Bombyx mori: one gene and its partners. The protein of the gene in region 1 purifies or fractionates together with the protein of each later gene. This does not show direct contact. Links are inferred from orthologs where the notes say so. Each region holds a gene or a part of one and is shown on either strand. Other genes may lie near its edges.

What was found. Proteins that work in one complex are often made in the same cells at the same time.
Region 2: the proteins of vesicle-fusing ATPase 1 (region 1) and gamma-soluble NSF attachment protein purify together in Homo sapiens (affinity purification with mass spectrometry; 3 studies listed by BioGRID and IntAct, with this or other methods). This does not show direct contact. The link is inferred for Bombyx mori from reciprocal best matches to the Homo sapiens genes NSF and NAPG.
Region 3: the proteins of vesicle-fusing ATPase 1 (region 1) and protein sly1 homolog purify together in Homo sapiens (affinity purification with mass spectrometry; 3 studies listed by BioGRID and IntAct, with this or other methods). This does not show direct contact. The link is inferred for Bombyx mori from reciprocal best matches to the Homo sapiens genes NSF and SCFD1.

The regions. Positions count from the first base shown.
Region 1 is NC_085128.1:5,784,181-5,788,516, reverse strand, and holds part of vesicle-fusing ATPase 1, read left to right. Parts: intron 1-241; coding exon 242-327; intron 328-977; coding exon 978-1,123; intron 1,124-2,292; coding exon 2,293-2,431; intron 2,432-3,570; coding exon 3,571-3,713; intron 3,714-4,336.
Region 2 is NC_085107.1:1,360,108-1,364,443, reverse strand, and holds part of gamma-soluble NSF attachment protein, read left to right. Parts: intron 1-899; coding exon 900-1,047; intron 1,048-2,659; coding exon 2,660-2,914; intron 2,915-4,336. UniProt on the Homo sapiens protein: Required for vesicular transport between the endoplasmic reticulum and the Golgi apparatus.
Region 3 is NC_085118.1:7,853,467-7,857,802, reverse strand, and holds part of protein sly1 homolog, read left to right. Parts: intron 1-751; coding exon 752-927; intron 928-1,013; coding exon 1,014-1,284; intron 1,285-2,258; coding exon 2,259-2,388; intron 2,389-2,830; coding exon 2,831-3,037; intron 3,038-4,336. UniProt on the Homo sapiens protein: Plays a role in SNARE-pin assembly and Golgi-to-ER retrograde transport via its interaction with COG4. Involved in vesicular transport between the endoplasmic reticulum and the Golgi.

The DNA.
Region 1 (4,336 bases):
CCTATCATCATATAATATAATATTTTTAAAAACAAATCTGATTTTTTCATACAAAATGTTTTAATTAGTCGAAATGTAAATACACGCTAGACTTGTATACGTATAATTAAATAGCGCGATTAGATAATAATATAATGGGGGAGGCAAATGTTCAGCGGTGGAAGTCCGTGGCTGAAAATAAAGAAATTTGATAAGAACAAAAAACTATGTATAAACCATGTATATTTTTTTTACTATGCAGACCATTGACGTGAAGCCTTTCAAACCCTCTAGTGCTGAATGCCTTTGCAGCGTAACGTTGGAAGCCGATTTCATGATGAAGAAAACGTATGTGTGAATTCAATCTGATTAGTACTTATTGATGTTACGTAACTTTTCAGTCATCATTTGAAAATAATTTTTAAAATTTCCTTGTTTTTAATAGATTGGGTGGAGCAATTTATTTTCAACTCTGTGATTAAATGAGCATAGTAATTAATGCAACCCAATATCATTATAATAGCAGATAAAGTATGAAATTAGAACGAACATACAAAGATCTTGTTAGTAAAGAAAAATGGAATGCTTAAAGTTTAATAAACCTAATATCTATAAATTTGTGCTGTCTCAATGGAATATATTTTGTGCCTTTGACATAGCACTGACGATCCTGAGATTTGGGGATTCAAAGGAAGGAAGAGTGAAGTGCATTTAATTCAACTAAAGAATTTTGCCACTTGCATAAATATTTCATACGTAAAGTTACCGATAGAAAAAAAACGTTCATTATTTTGGCATAGCTATCCGCGAGTTCTAGATGTGATTAAACACACACAAGATTTAATAAACACATGCATATGATGCAAAAACGCCTTCGAAAATAACTGATCAATAAAAATCTATTGTATTTTTCTAATTTACTTAAAAAGTGTTGTTTGTTAACTATGATAACTAGGATTTTTTTTTTTATTATTGTTGGAATGTATTTCCTCTTCCAGAACATCAACGGATCCATATGATTCGGAACAAATGGCCAGAGATTTCCTTATTCAGTTCGCCAATCAAGTTTTTACTGTCGGACAACAGCTGGCTTTCTTGTTCCAAGAGAAGAAAGTCTTGTCGTTGATCGTAAAAAATTTGGAAGGTGAGTTTTTTTATGTTTGTTATTGGAATATAGACGAGCTCACGGCCCGGTGGTAAGTTGTTATCGGGGCACGTGGACTTCAACAACGTGAATGAAATAACCCACCTTGAGACATGAAGCTCACAGCCCACCTGGTGTTAAGTGGTTACTGGAGCCCATGGACATCTACAACGTAAATGCGCCACCCACCTTGAGATATAAGTTCTAAGATCTCAGTATAGTTACAACGGCTGCCCTACCCTTCAAACCGAAACGCATTACTGCTTCACGGCAGAAATAGGCTAGGCGGTGGTACCTACCCGCGCGGACTTACAAGAGGTCCTACCACCAGTAAAGTACCAGTTTAGTATCTGTGAAAGTACACAAATGTGGAAAAATGAAACAAAGCCGCTGAACGTAACTTTTCGGGATCCTCCAAAAACGTCCACTGAAAAAGTCTCAGTAAATAAACCCACCATTTTACTGAGATTATCTTTCATCCCATATCATCTCATTTCGTTTCATGCCCTGTTTCACATTAAACAACTTCATTTCATTTCATAATATCATTTTTCATATAAAAAAAGTTTTCATTAAAATTTAAATAAGACTTGACCTTAAAGGTCTTAGTTACCAGGTCATAAAATGCCTAAAATAGAATTCCCCAAATTGCCACATTCCCCAATTCTCATTGAATATACGGTTTATAATTGTTTTTTTTTTTTTTTTTTTTTTTTTTCCTACCTAAGCTGAGAGCCTTGAGAGGCTATGTCAGCGTAACCCTAACTTTTGTAGGTGAGCTCACGGGGCTCAAACCTGATGACGTTGCTAACACGAACCCTAGCAAGAGTCGTGCTTCGCAGAATCTACCACCGGATCGGAAACGCGACCCACTGAGAAGATCCGGCGAGAAACTCAGTGGGCTGTGTCTGGGAGTTAATTTACTCGTCGAGCCCTTCGTCGCAAGCGACGGGTTCGACGAGAACGGTGACCGGTGCTTGAAGTACCTAGAAGCACCGTTAGTGGATCGGGAGGATCCGAGATGACGTGTTTTGGGCGACGTCGACTGCTTTCCATACTGTCCGCAGGATCGGGAATGTAGTTACCGGCGGCCACGATGAGAGGGTTCTCGTGTCGTGCCGCTTTATCGAAGTGGTTTTATAATTGGATGTATGATGTTGTGTGTGCAGCCGTCGATGTGCAAGCTTTAGCGGCCGGAGCCAACGCCGTGCCCCGCCGGGTGCGGATGGGCCGGCTGCTGCCCGACGCCTCGGTGCAGTTCGACAAGGCGGAGAATTCGTCTCTGAACCTAATCGGGAAGGCTAAAGGGTGAGTATGGATCATCGGGAATAAGGGACCTTTATAATAATTGTCGCTATTGATGAAATGGAGACTTAAAACTGTCTCAAGGTGGGTAGCGGCATTAAGTTTCCTGATGTCTACCACACTAGTTGATACAGTAAGTTCGCCAACATTTAGTAGTTAAAAAAAATTGACGCCATATATACATGTTTTTGCATCTCGATAATAAAATCATCGAGGCTTGGAACAAGGTTGTCCGGTTAGCAACGCCTTTTATTTTGTTGGTGTTTTTTCCCTACTTTTGATACCTCGCTGGCAGCTAAGGGGCTATTCGAGTTTCCTAAGGGGCTATTCGAGTTTCCTAAGGGGCTATACGAGTTTCCTAAGGGGCTATTCGAGTTTCCTAAGGGGCTATACGAGTTTCCTAAGGGGCTATACGAGTTTCCTAAGGGGCTATTCGTGTTTCCTATGAGGCTATTCGAGTTTCCTAAGGGGCTATTCGAGTTTTCCTGGAGTGTGTGAATGACAATATGAGAGAAAGAGGAGTGAGTGTTGAGATGACGGCTGATAGAAGAGAATGGAAGAGAAAAATCAGGTGTGCCAACCACGCCTAGTGGGATAAGGTGGAAAAAAAAGAAGAAGAAGAATACTTATTTTTTTTGACGTAAAAAAAGTATATGTACAGTACGGAACGAAATAATTGCCTGAAGACTTACCGATTCACCTTCCTTCTACTGCCTCGTGCTCCCTGGGCTCAGCGTCGTTTCCGGAGGTGGGACCGTCTGTCCCTTGACTGGTACATGATGAATATATTGTCGCTGGTTCTATGTTTACGCGTGACTTGCGTTGGATAATTTTTGTTTTTGTTATAATTAATGAATGCCGCGGAACGCGTGTGTTATGTATTCTATGCGATGGCGATCTCTGCCCGTAGGCTTGGAGGGATTGCTTAGCAAGCTTCTGGTTGGCTAGTCGGCCGTCTACAGGCGAGATCGAACCTTACTGCGCCTAGGTTAAGACTTGTGTTGTCTTGAAGATGTAATATATTCATTACCTAATACTCGATACTAAAAAAATATACGAAACAAGAAAAGATCTGTTTCAGTACGAAACAGTATAGTATAAACGAAAAACAAATACAACAATGATATATTTTTGTGAAACAGAAAGCAACCGCGACAGTCGATCATCAATCCGGACTGGGACTTCGGCAAGATGGGCATCGGCGGTCTCGACAACGAGTTCAACGCGATCTTCCGTCGCGCGTTTGCTTCCCGAGTGTTCCCCCCGGAGGTCGTCGAGCAACTAGGTAACGACGCGACCTGCCCTCGGCCCTTTCTCATACACCGTTTTTAATATTCCTAATTAAGCCGATAGCCTATAGAGGCTATGTCAGCGTAACCTAACAAGTAGATGAGCTTACGGGGTTCAAACTTGACGAGCCCTAGCAAGAGCAGTGCTTCGCAGAATCTACCACCGGATCGGAAACGCGATCCACTGAGAAGATCCGGCGAGAAACCCAGTGGGTTGTGTCTGTGGGTTACTTTACGCGTGGAGTCCTTCGTCGCAAGCGACGGGTTCGACGGGAACGGTGACCGGAACTCATACATCGACTACGTTTTAGCATAATATGTTATTTTTCTAGCTGGCTTTAAGATGTAGATGATTAATTCACTAAAGCAATCACCTCTCTTCTAATAATCAATTAGATATCTATTAAGTAAAAGTCAGGCCTGAATGTTACCGTAAACATGTACATAATATATGTATATATGTTTTTTTTTTTTTTTATTGCTTAGATGGATGGACGAGCTCACAGCCCACCTGGTGTTAAGTGGTTACTGGAGCCCATAGACATCTACGACGTAAATGCGCCACCCACCTCGAGATATAAGTTCTAAAATCTCAGTATAGTTACATCGGCTACCCCAC
Region 2 (4,336 bases), on another chromosome or scaffold:
ACAATTACATAGCTATTGACGTAATTAGCTGTACTACGTGGAAAGTTATTCGATAATTAAAATGTGTCCGTGAAATATGGTTTGTTTGGGTATTTGATTTGGCTTTTGAAAATGCGAGGTATAGTTTTAACGAATGTTTTACCCAATTTACTTAATTTATAATATTAATTTATTTTATAGCTTATATAATTTAATTTATAGCTTTTAAGAATAAAAGGTAAACGATACATAAATCGAAACTAACTAGCAAAAACTTTTTGATCGAAATTGACCGTTACTAGTGATAGGGTTGATTGTAAGTCCGCACGAGTGGGTATCACCAACCTGCCTGTTTCTGCCACGGAACAGTCACGCGTTACAGGTTGTAGCGTTGAAACAGCCACTATACTTACTATACAATTGAAGCATAAGGCAATTGGAGCCCATAGACATCTACAACGTAAATGCTACCACCTACCTTGAGATAAGTTCTAAGGTCTCAGTATAGTTACAATGGCTGCCCCGCCCTTCCAACCGAAACGCATTACTGCTTCACGGCAGAAATAAGCAGGGCGGTGGTACCTACCCGTGTGGACTCACAAGAGGTCCTACCACCGGTATGTAATTACGCAAATTATAATTTTGCGGGTTTAATTTTTACTACACGATATTATTCCCTCACCGTGGAAGTAAACCGTGAACATTTGTTTAGTACGTATTTATTTAGAAAAACTGGTACGTGCCAGCGGGATTCGAACACTGATGCATCGCTGGATACGAATGCACCGGGCGTCTTATCCTTTAGGCCACGACGACTTCAAAGCTGTACTCTTTATATTACTTACCAATGTCGTGGTCTGTTCTCGAGTCAAGAGGGTTTTAAAAGATTAGTGTTTGAGTAGTGTTTGATATGCTTTCAGCTACGACGAGGCTGTCGATAATTTGCGTCGCGAGATCGGGTTCCATCTTGAAGCGAATAACTTGCCGGCCGTGGGCAGACTGTGCGTGGCCATCGTGCTGGTACAACTGGCCCGCGGCGATACCGTCGCTGCCGAGAAGAGCTACAAGGTAATCGTATTCAATGTTGTGCAATGTTAGAGCTTTTTTTTTTAGGATTGAAGGATTAGTTATGGCCCGGAGGCCTTTCGAGTTTCACCAGGACAGGTGGGCGAGCAAAGGATCAGCCAGGATGGTGTTAGAGCTCTGCAGGCATGATGTAGCTTGACTATAACGTAAATAATGAATAAACGAGTATGGTGCTAGCGTAAGTAACGTCCTTGTGTATAAACTGTGTGTTTCATACGGGTGGTAGGACCTTTTGTGAGTCCGCACGGGCAGGTACCACCACCCCGTCTATTTCTGCCGTGAATCAGTAATGCTTTTCGGTTTGAAGGGCGGGGCAGCCGTTGTAATTATACTGAGACTTTAGAACTTGTATCTCAAATTGGGTGGCGAATTTACGTTGTAGATGTCTATGGGCTCCAGTAACCACTTAACATCAGGTGGGCTGTGAGCTCGTCCATCCATTTAAGCAATAAAAAGAAACTTATTTCTGAAGTTGTTTTTTTTGTTCTGTTGTTCTGAAGTTACATTGTAGATGTCCTAGAAAAAACCTGTTTTTTTTGTAAAAATAAAGGTTTTATATAAAAACTACATAAAAAAAAGGTTTTTCTTTATATCTCCCGGATAAATAGACTGCGTAGTCTAGTCGAACCTAAATCTTGAAGTGCCGGTGCTTATGGTCGAATTTCGATAATCAGTCAAAATAATATCATCACCGCGTACGATCATTGACAACTAAGCCTACTCTTCTATTAAGGGATCCTGTTGGTATTATTATGTAGTTATGCAAGTATTAATATTTTGCCTTATTTTATAATTGATTTATTATAATTGGCCTTTTTTTTATTGTACCAACGAGAACTATGTCCCCGCCCACTCCATGTTGATTTGCACTTGGAACTCTTAGATACCATAACGTCAATGCCAAAGTCTCATCTTGAGACGTAGCATCTAAGGACTAATCTCATAAATGTAGATAATATACATATATCGGCTGCCCCACCCTTCAACATGACTGTTTCGTCACAGAAATAGGCAGAACAGCGGTAAACGTATCAGTAATAATGTAATTTTAGTATATTAAAAAAAATACATCAAGCTTTTATGTTTGGTTTTTAAGCCAATACTGAGTTTTTGTATCGATCGTATCGAGATTTGTAATCGATCGAAATTTAACTAGTGGTCGCCCGGTAGTCGAAATTCGACTATAATTAATTGAAATTATAAGTTTGTACTATTATGATTCTATTATCACAGACTATTATACTTCGCCAACACTACATACACTTTTGACAAATATTAATAAAGACAAACAATATTTAATCTATTCTCAATTTGACCACAGACTATATAAATAAAGAAAAGTTTGAAAATAAACAAACAGTATGCATGTGTGTGCTTGTCAAATACACGGTAGTGTGTGTAATGTTTTTATTTATTGATTTAATATATTATTAAAGCATAATTTAAAAATAAATAGCATTCTGTACTCCTTCTCTATATCTGTATAAGTGTGGGAAATTTCATACTGCTCCGTCCGCGCAATTTTCGTGTAAAAAGGGGTTAAAATTTTTTGCGTCACGTATTAATATTTAGATTCTTCCAAAACCTTTCTAAGGAATGGGGCGGTCACTGCGAAATGGCCGAAGTGCAGACGTTGGATCAGCTGCTCCAGGCCTACGATGAAGAGGACCCGGATTCCGCTCGCAAGGCCCTCCGTTCCCCGTTCATCCGCAGCATGGACGTGGAGTACTCCCGCCTGGCTAACTGCATCCCGCTTCCGGAGCCACTGGACCCGATGATGCGGGCCGGAGTGCGAGAGAACGCCGCGCCGTCGTACGTCAGCCCTAACGCCAGTACATCCGCCTCGGTGGTACGTACTCCCTCTCTAAATCCGGTAGCTCTGATACAAATGTTGTTTTGATAAAGAATTCTATTATCCAAACTCTGTATTTATCTCCAAAACTATTTACTGATTAATATATCCGTCGCGGGAAGTTTATTGGTCACCCCTGTCCTAGAGTTGTTGTTAACTAACTAAACTTTGACTTCCAAGACTCCACATGTTCGTGTGGAGAACACTAGTCGGGTAGATTTTGGGGGTCGATTGCTTCCCGCTTCCGTAGGTTTAACCCACGATTCCCTACAAGTGACCCCTGGGTGGTGCTAAACGGGAGCCGAATACATAATCGGTGGTAGGACATAGTCCGACTGGCTGGCGACCACCCTCCAACTAGAGTCCGCCGCCAAATAGCCTAGCTGTGTTCCGGCGTGTGGGTTGGAGAGCCAGTTTTATTCCTTCCCTTTCCTCTTCCTTGTTCGGGGTGAATCTTGATGATGCCTGGAACATGCGGAGCAGACGTGCGTGCAAGCTCGCGGGACGTGATTGTTTGACGGGGGTATAGGGAGACCCAGTGAAACGGTGTTCGCCGCCGCCCGCCGGTCAGTTGGGGACCTGAACCCGGGTGTCACTACTAAACTCCGCCCCGGGAAGCTGTCCCGCCAACCGGTGTAAAATCCTGTCGTGCGGTCGTCGTGCCGGAGTCGGAGACCGGAGTGGATCCCGGCGATCGCACGCAGGGTGGACTGGGGGCCCTTCCATGCCCTGCGTCAGTCTCTCACGCAACCCGTGGTCAAGCACGTACTGTGTTCCGCGCTTTATTCAGGTATTGTCATGTTTTTGCCTCGAACTTCCTACCCCACCCAATCCCACTCTCCAAAAATAATAATAAAATGACAGTTAAAAAAAGGAAAAGGGTTTTGTCGGCGATGCCCCATTCCACATTTAATGTGGATTTCAGCAATGTAAGGGGCCTACATAGTAACCTCGACGCCGTACACCACCATCTTGAGACGGCGCAGCCTGCCCTCCTTTTTCTGACGGAGACACAGATATCTGCTCCGGATGACACTTCTTACCTTGAATACCCCGGCTACGTATTGGAGCACAACTTCCTGCGTAAAGCCGGGGTGTGTGTATTCGTCCGGGCTGATGTCTGTTGTCGCCGTCTACGAGGCCTCGAACAACGGGACCTGTCCATCTTGTGGCTGCGCGTAGATCACGGGGGTTGTACCCGAGTCTACGCGTGCCTGTACAGGTCCCACAGCAGTGATGCAGGTTCAGCTCTGATAGAGCATGTGCAAGAGGGGACTAACCGCGTGCTTGAGCAGTACCCATCTGCGGAGGTGGTGGTTCTTGGAGACTTTAACGCTCACCACCAAGAGTGGTTGGGGTCCAGAACCACTGACCTCCCGGGTCGGGCTGCCTACGATTTCGCCCTGGCCTACGGCTTCT
Region 3 (4,336 bases), on another chromosome or scaffold:
GGGCTTTATGCCAAACCCGATCGAAGGCTTTCGCAATGTCCAAACTAACGCCTAGTGCCTCACCCCTACTCTCAACCGCCTGCGCCCAACGGTGAGTTAGTAAAGCCAAAAGATCACCAGCTGATCGGCCTTTGCGGAAGCCATATTGGCGGTCGCTGATCAGCTGGTGCTCTTCCAGGTAGCCCATGAGCTGGCGGTTGATTATGGATTCCATAATTTTGGAGAGTAAGGAGGTGATAGCGATAGGCCTGTAGTTGGACGGATCTGAGCGATCGCCTTTTTTAGGGATCGGGTGTACTAGAGCCGACCTAATAAATTGATCGTAGCTGGTGTTTAACTTCAGTTGATGGATGGAAATATAGCATTGACGAAACTGGTGATAGGACTTCTTGTGGGTCCGCACGGGTAATTACCACCACCCTGCCTATTTCTGCCGTGAAGCAGTATTGCGTTTCGGTTTGAAAGGTGGGGCAGCCGTTGTAACTATACTGATTTCTGCCGTGAAGCAGTAATGCGTTTCGGTTTGAAGGGTGAGGCAACCGTTGTAACTATACTGAGACCCTTACAACTCATGTCTCAAGGTGGGTGGCGGCATTCACGTTGTAGATGTCTATGGGCTTCAGTAACCTTCAGTAACACCAGGTGGGCCGTGAGTATGTCCACCTAACTAAGCAATAAAAAAATTACATTTTAATATACCATGTAATAAAATATGGGAATAAACCAATTAAATTAACCAATAATTCCAAAGGAGTTCAGAAGCCGAAGTAAAGAAACTGAAGAGCTCTATGGGTCTCGATGCAGAAAGTGACTTGGCCCTGAGCATGGTCAGTGACAATACTCAACGGCTTACCAACGCGGTGAACTCATTACCTCAACTCATGGAAAAGAAACGGCTGATTGATATGCACACTACTATCGCCACAGGTAAACAGATTCGTTATCTCAAAGAAATTCTGATTGATTTGACACAAAATAAACTGTTCAATATTATTTCTCCAATATTCTTACAGCAATTCTTAATGCCATTAAGTCCAGAAGACTAGATTCATTTTTCGAATTAGAGGAAAAAATAATGAGTAAAAGCACCGCCGTGGAAACCAAAGCGGTTATGGATCTTATAACTGATCCCAGTGCGGGTACACCCGAGGACAAAATGAGGCTGTTCATTATTTACTATCTGTGCACGTCGCAATTCACTGACGATGAATATGAAAAGTTTGAAGGAGCTCTAGTGGCGGCCAACTGCGATGTCAAAGCCCTATCTTACATGAAACGGTGGAAGTAAGTCTACAAAAAATTTTTTTCCCCTCTAAGCTGTTGGTCTGGAGAGACCATTTCAGCGTAGCCTTAACTAGTAAGTGAAGTCACGAGGCTCAAACCTGACAATGTTGCTAACACTAGTCCTAACAAGAGCCGTGCTTCGCAGAATCCACCACCGGATCGGAAACGCGACCCACTGAGAAGATCCGGCGAGAAACTCAGTGGGCTGTCTGTGGGTTAATTTACTTGCAGAGCCCTTCGTCTATCGAGCCCTTCATGACCGGCGATGAATTTTTTGCTTATATAATCCAGGCTACTTAACTATGCACTAAACGTCTTTTAGGCACAAATGTTTTATCCTAGATTTTCCGCTTCCAGCGTTATTTTAAAATCTGAAAATACTTCTACTGCAGCTTATGTCTTGCTCATAATACTTTAACACATTCATCCTCGTTGGATTAAGCTTGTAAAAAATTTTCAAGTGTATAAAATCATTCAAAATTCGGTTGTGTTCAGACTGTATTTGTAGAATATTTCCCATTATCCTAACTTTCTTATTATATGGAATATTTAATAAAATATACAAACATTTTTGGTTGAAACGTTGAAGCCTTAAAATTCTGGGACACCTGACCGGCGTTATCTAGTATATATTTTCAAAAAAACACACTGCTGTAATTTTTCTACTGTAGATATACTTATAATTTAAACGGCCGTCTGGTGTAGTGTTAAGTGACATGGTCACTACACAAGGGGGTCGCGGGTTCGAATCCCGCCAAGGGATGATATTTGTATGATAAATATAAATGTCTTTTGCGGGGTTATGGATGTATATTAAATATATGTATGTTTATAATAAAAATCTTACATTTATATCCGCTATCTGGTACCTGTAACACAAGATCTGTACGAACTTATCACGGGACCAGTTAACGTGGCGTGATTGTTAGTAAATATTTATTTATTTATTATTATTTATTATAATACTTTTACAGGGGTTTCACAAAAATGTCAAATCAGTACGAAGGCGGCGGCACCAAAACAGTATCCATGTTCTCTAAACTTGTATCCCAAGGCTCATCCTTTGTAATGGAGGGCGTCAAAAATTTAGTTGTCAAAAAACACGTGAGTACTATACAGGGTGTAGCAAAAATTCTTTGCAATAAATTAAGAAAAATCTAAAATTAAGTAACCTCAAGTCAGAGCTTTTGAAAACAGCTGAAAACTGTTTAGTGAATACTCAGAATGGTGGACCTCGTGTTTGAAATTCTACACGCATAGATCTATCATGCTTCGATGCTTCGATGTGTGAACGAGCTTACAGCCCACCTGGTGTTAAGTGGTTACTGGAGCTTATAGACATCCACAACGTAAATGCGCCACCCACCTTGAGATATAAGTTCTAAGGTCTCAAGTATAGTTACAACGGCTGCCCCACCCTTCAAACCGAAACGCATTACTGCTTCACGGCATAAAAAGTCAGGGTGGTGGTACCCACCCGCGCGGACTCACAAGAGGTCCTACCACCAGTAATAAATGCATATTCAAATGTAACGAATGAATGCAGAAACTTCCCGTGAGCCGCATAGTGGAGAGCGCTCTGAGTGGCAGCGAGAGCGCCGCCGAGCTCACGTGGCTGGACCCCCGCGCGGCGCGCACGGACTCGGCCGGTCGCGCGCGCTCCGCACGACAACAGCCGCCCACCGACGCTGTGGTCTTCCTCGTCGGCGGCGGGAATTACATCGAATACCACAACCTGATCGACTTCGCTAAGGTTTTGTTGCGCAAATACTGATATAATGTCAAATTAAATCAAAAAAAATTATTCAACATTAATGAAAGTACATACTTACTTGTTGAACGTCAAAAAGAACTACCGCCAATTCACAAAAACTAGCCTCCGTCCTGAGAAGAACTGGCAAGAAACTCAGTGGGCACGTCTTTTTTTTTTTAATATTAGATTATTTTTTTAAATATTAAGTTTTACAATGAGTATTATAAGGTAACAATTATTGCAATATTGAAATGCCCGGAGCGAGCAACTCATTCCCACTTTGTGCAATCTTCTAGATAATCATTGACTTTATAGGATAGCTTTATTGCACAGACGTACTGTCACTGGTTATCTTCTTCTATGTCATTCCCTCACTGCTGAAGATCGCGACCACATGTGATGTTTCTCCACAATGTTCGATCATGAGTGGCACGGAGCGCACGGTACTGACTACCACCAATTGCTTCCCTTACTAGATCTGACCATCAGGCTGGTGTTCTGTCCCACAGCGCGCTTACTCTCTATGCGACCCGCAATTATCAAGTCTATTTATAGAATCAAACGCAGCAGAGTTGAAAAAAACAATAAATTATATGAAGTACCTGAAGCCATCGCCTTATAATAATTTGCTTTACAAAAAAAGAACCATATTAAAAAATCCGTGATAGAAACAAATGTACCTACATACAAGTATAACCGTACCATTTGTGGATTGACGTTAAAAAAGTGCTCACGAACGTAGCTGTTTGCGTCTTTAAGCCTTCAACGTTACGTAATAGACGAGTGATAAGCATAGATACCACAGCGGCAATACCGCTACCAGTCTTTTTTTTTTGCAATGGTGAAGGCGTGATTAACTTTTAAAGACTTCTTTCCTTGTACGCTCCAAAACTATATTGTGATAGTTCAACCTCTCAACACTCAATAGGAACCTTTCAATAAATGGAGCTTGATTTGTAGACTAATTTGATTTTAGTAACCTACCCAAAGACTTTCAATATACAAATGAAAAGAGACACTCTTTAATTTACAGTGAGACGTCATTCACTAAAATCTGTTGGTAAAATGGAATTTTCCGTATCAAGAGAATGAAGGGCATGTTATGTTTCGCTAGATTCAACACAACCGTGTAACTAAGAAATGTGATAGACTGATGCCCCCTTCGACAATGAGAATCCTCTCATCGTGACCGCCGAAAACTACATAGCCGATCCTGCGGATCAAATGGTAAACAGTCGACGTCGCCCAAAACACTTCATTTCGGATCCTCCCGATCCACTAACGGTGCTTTTAGGTACC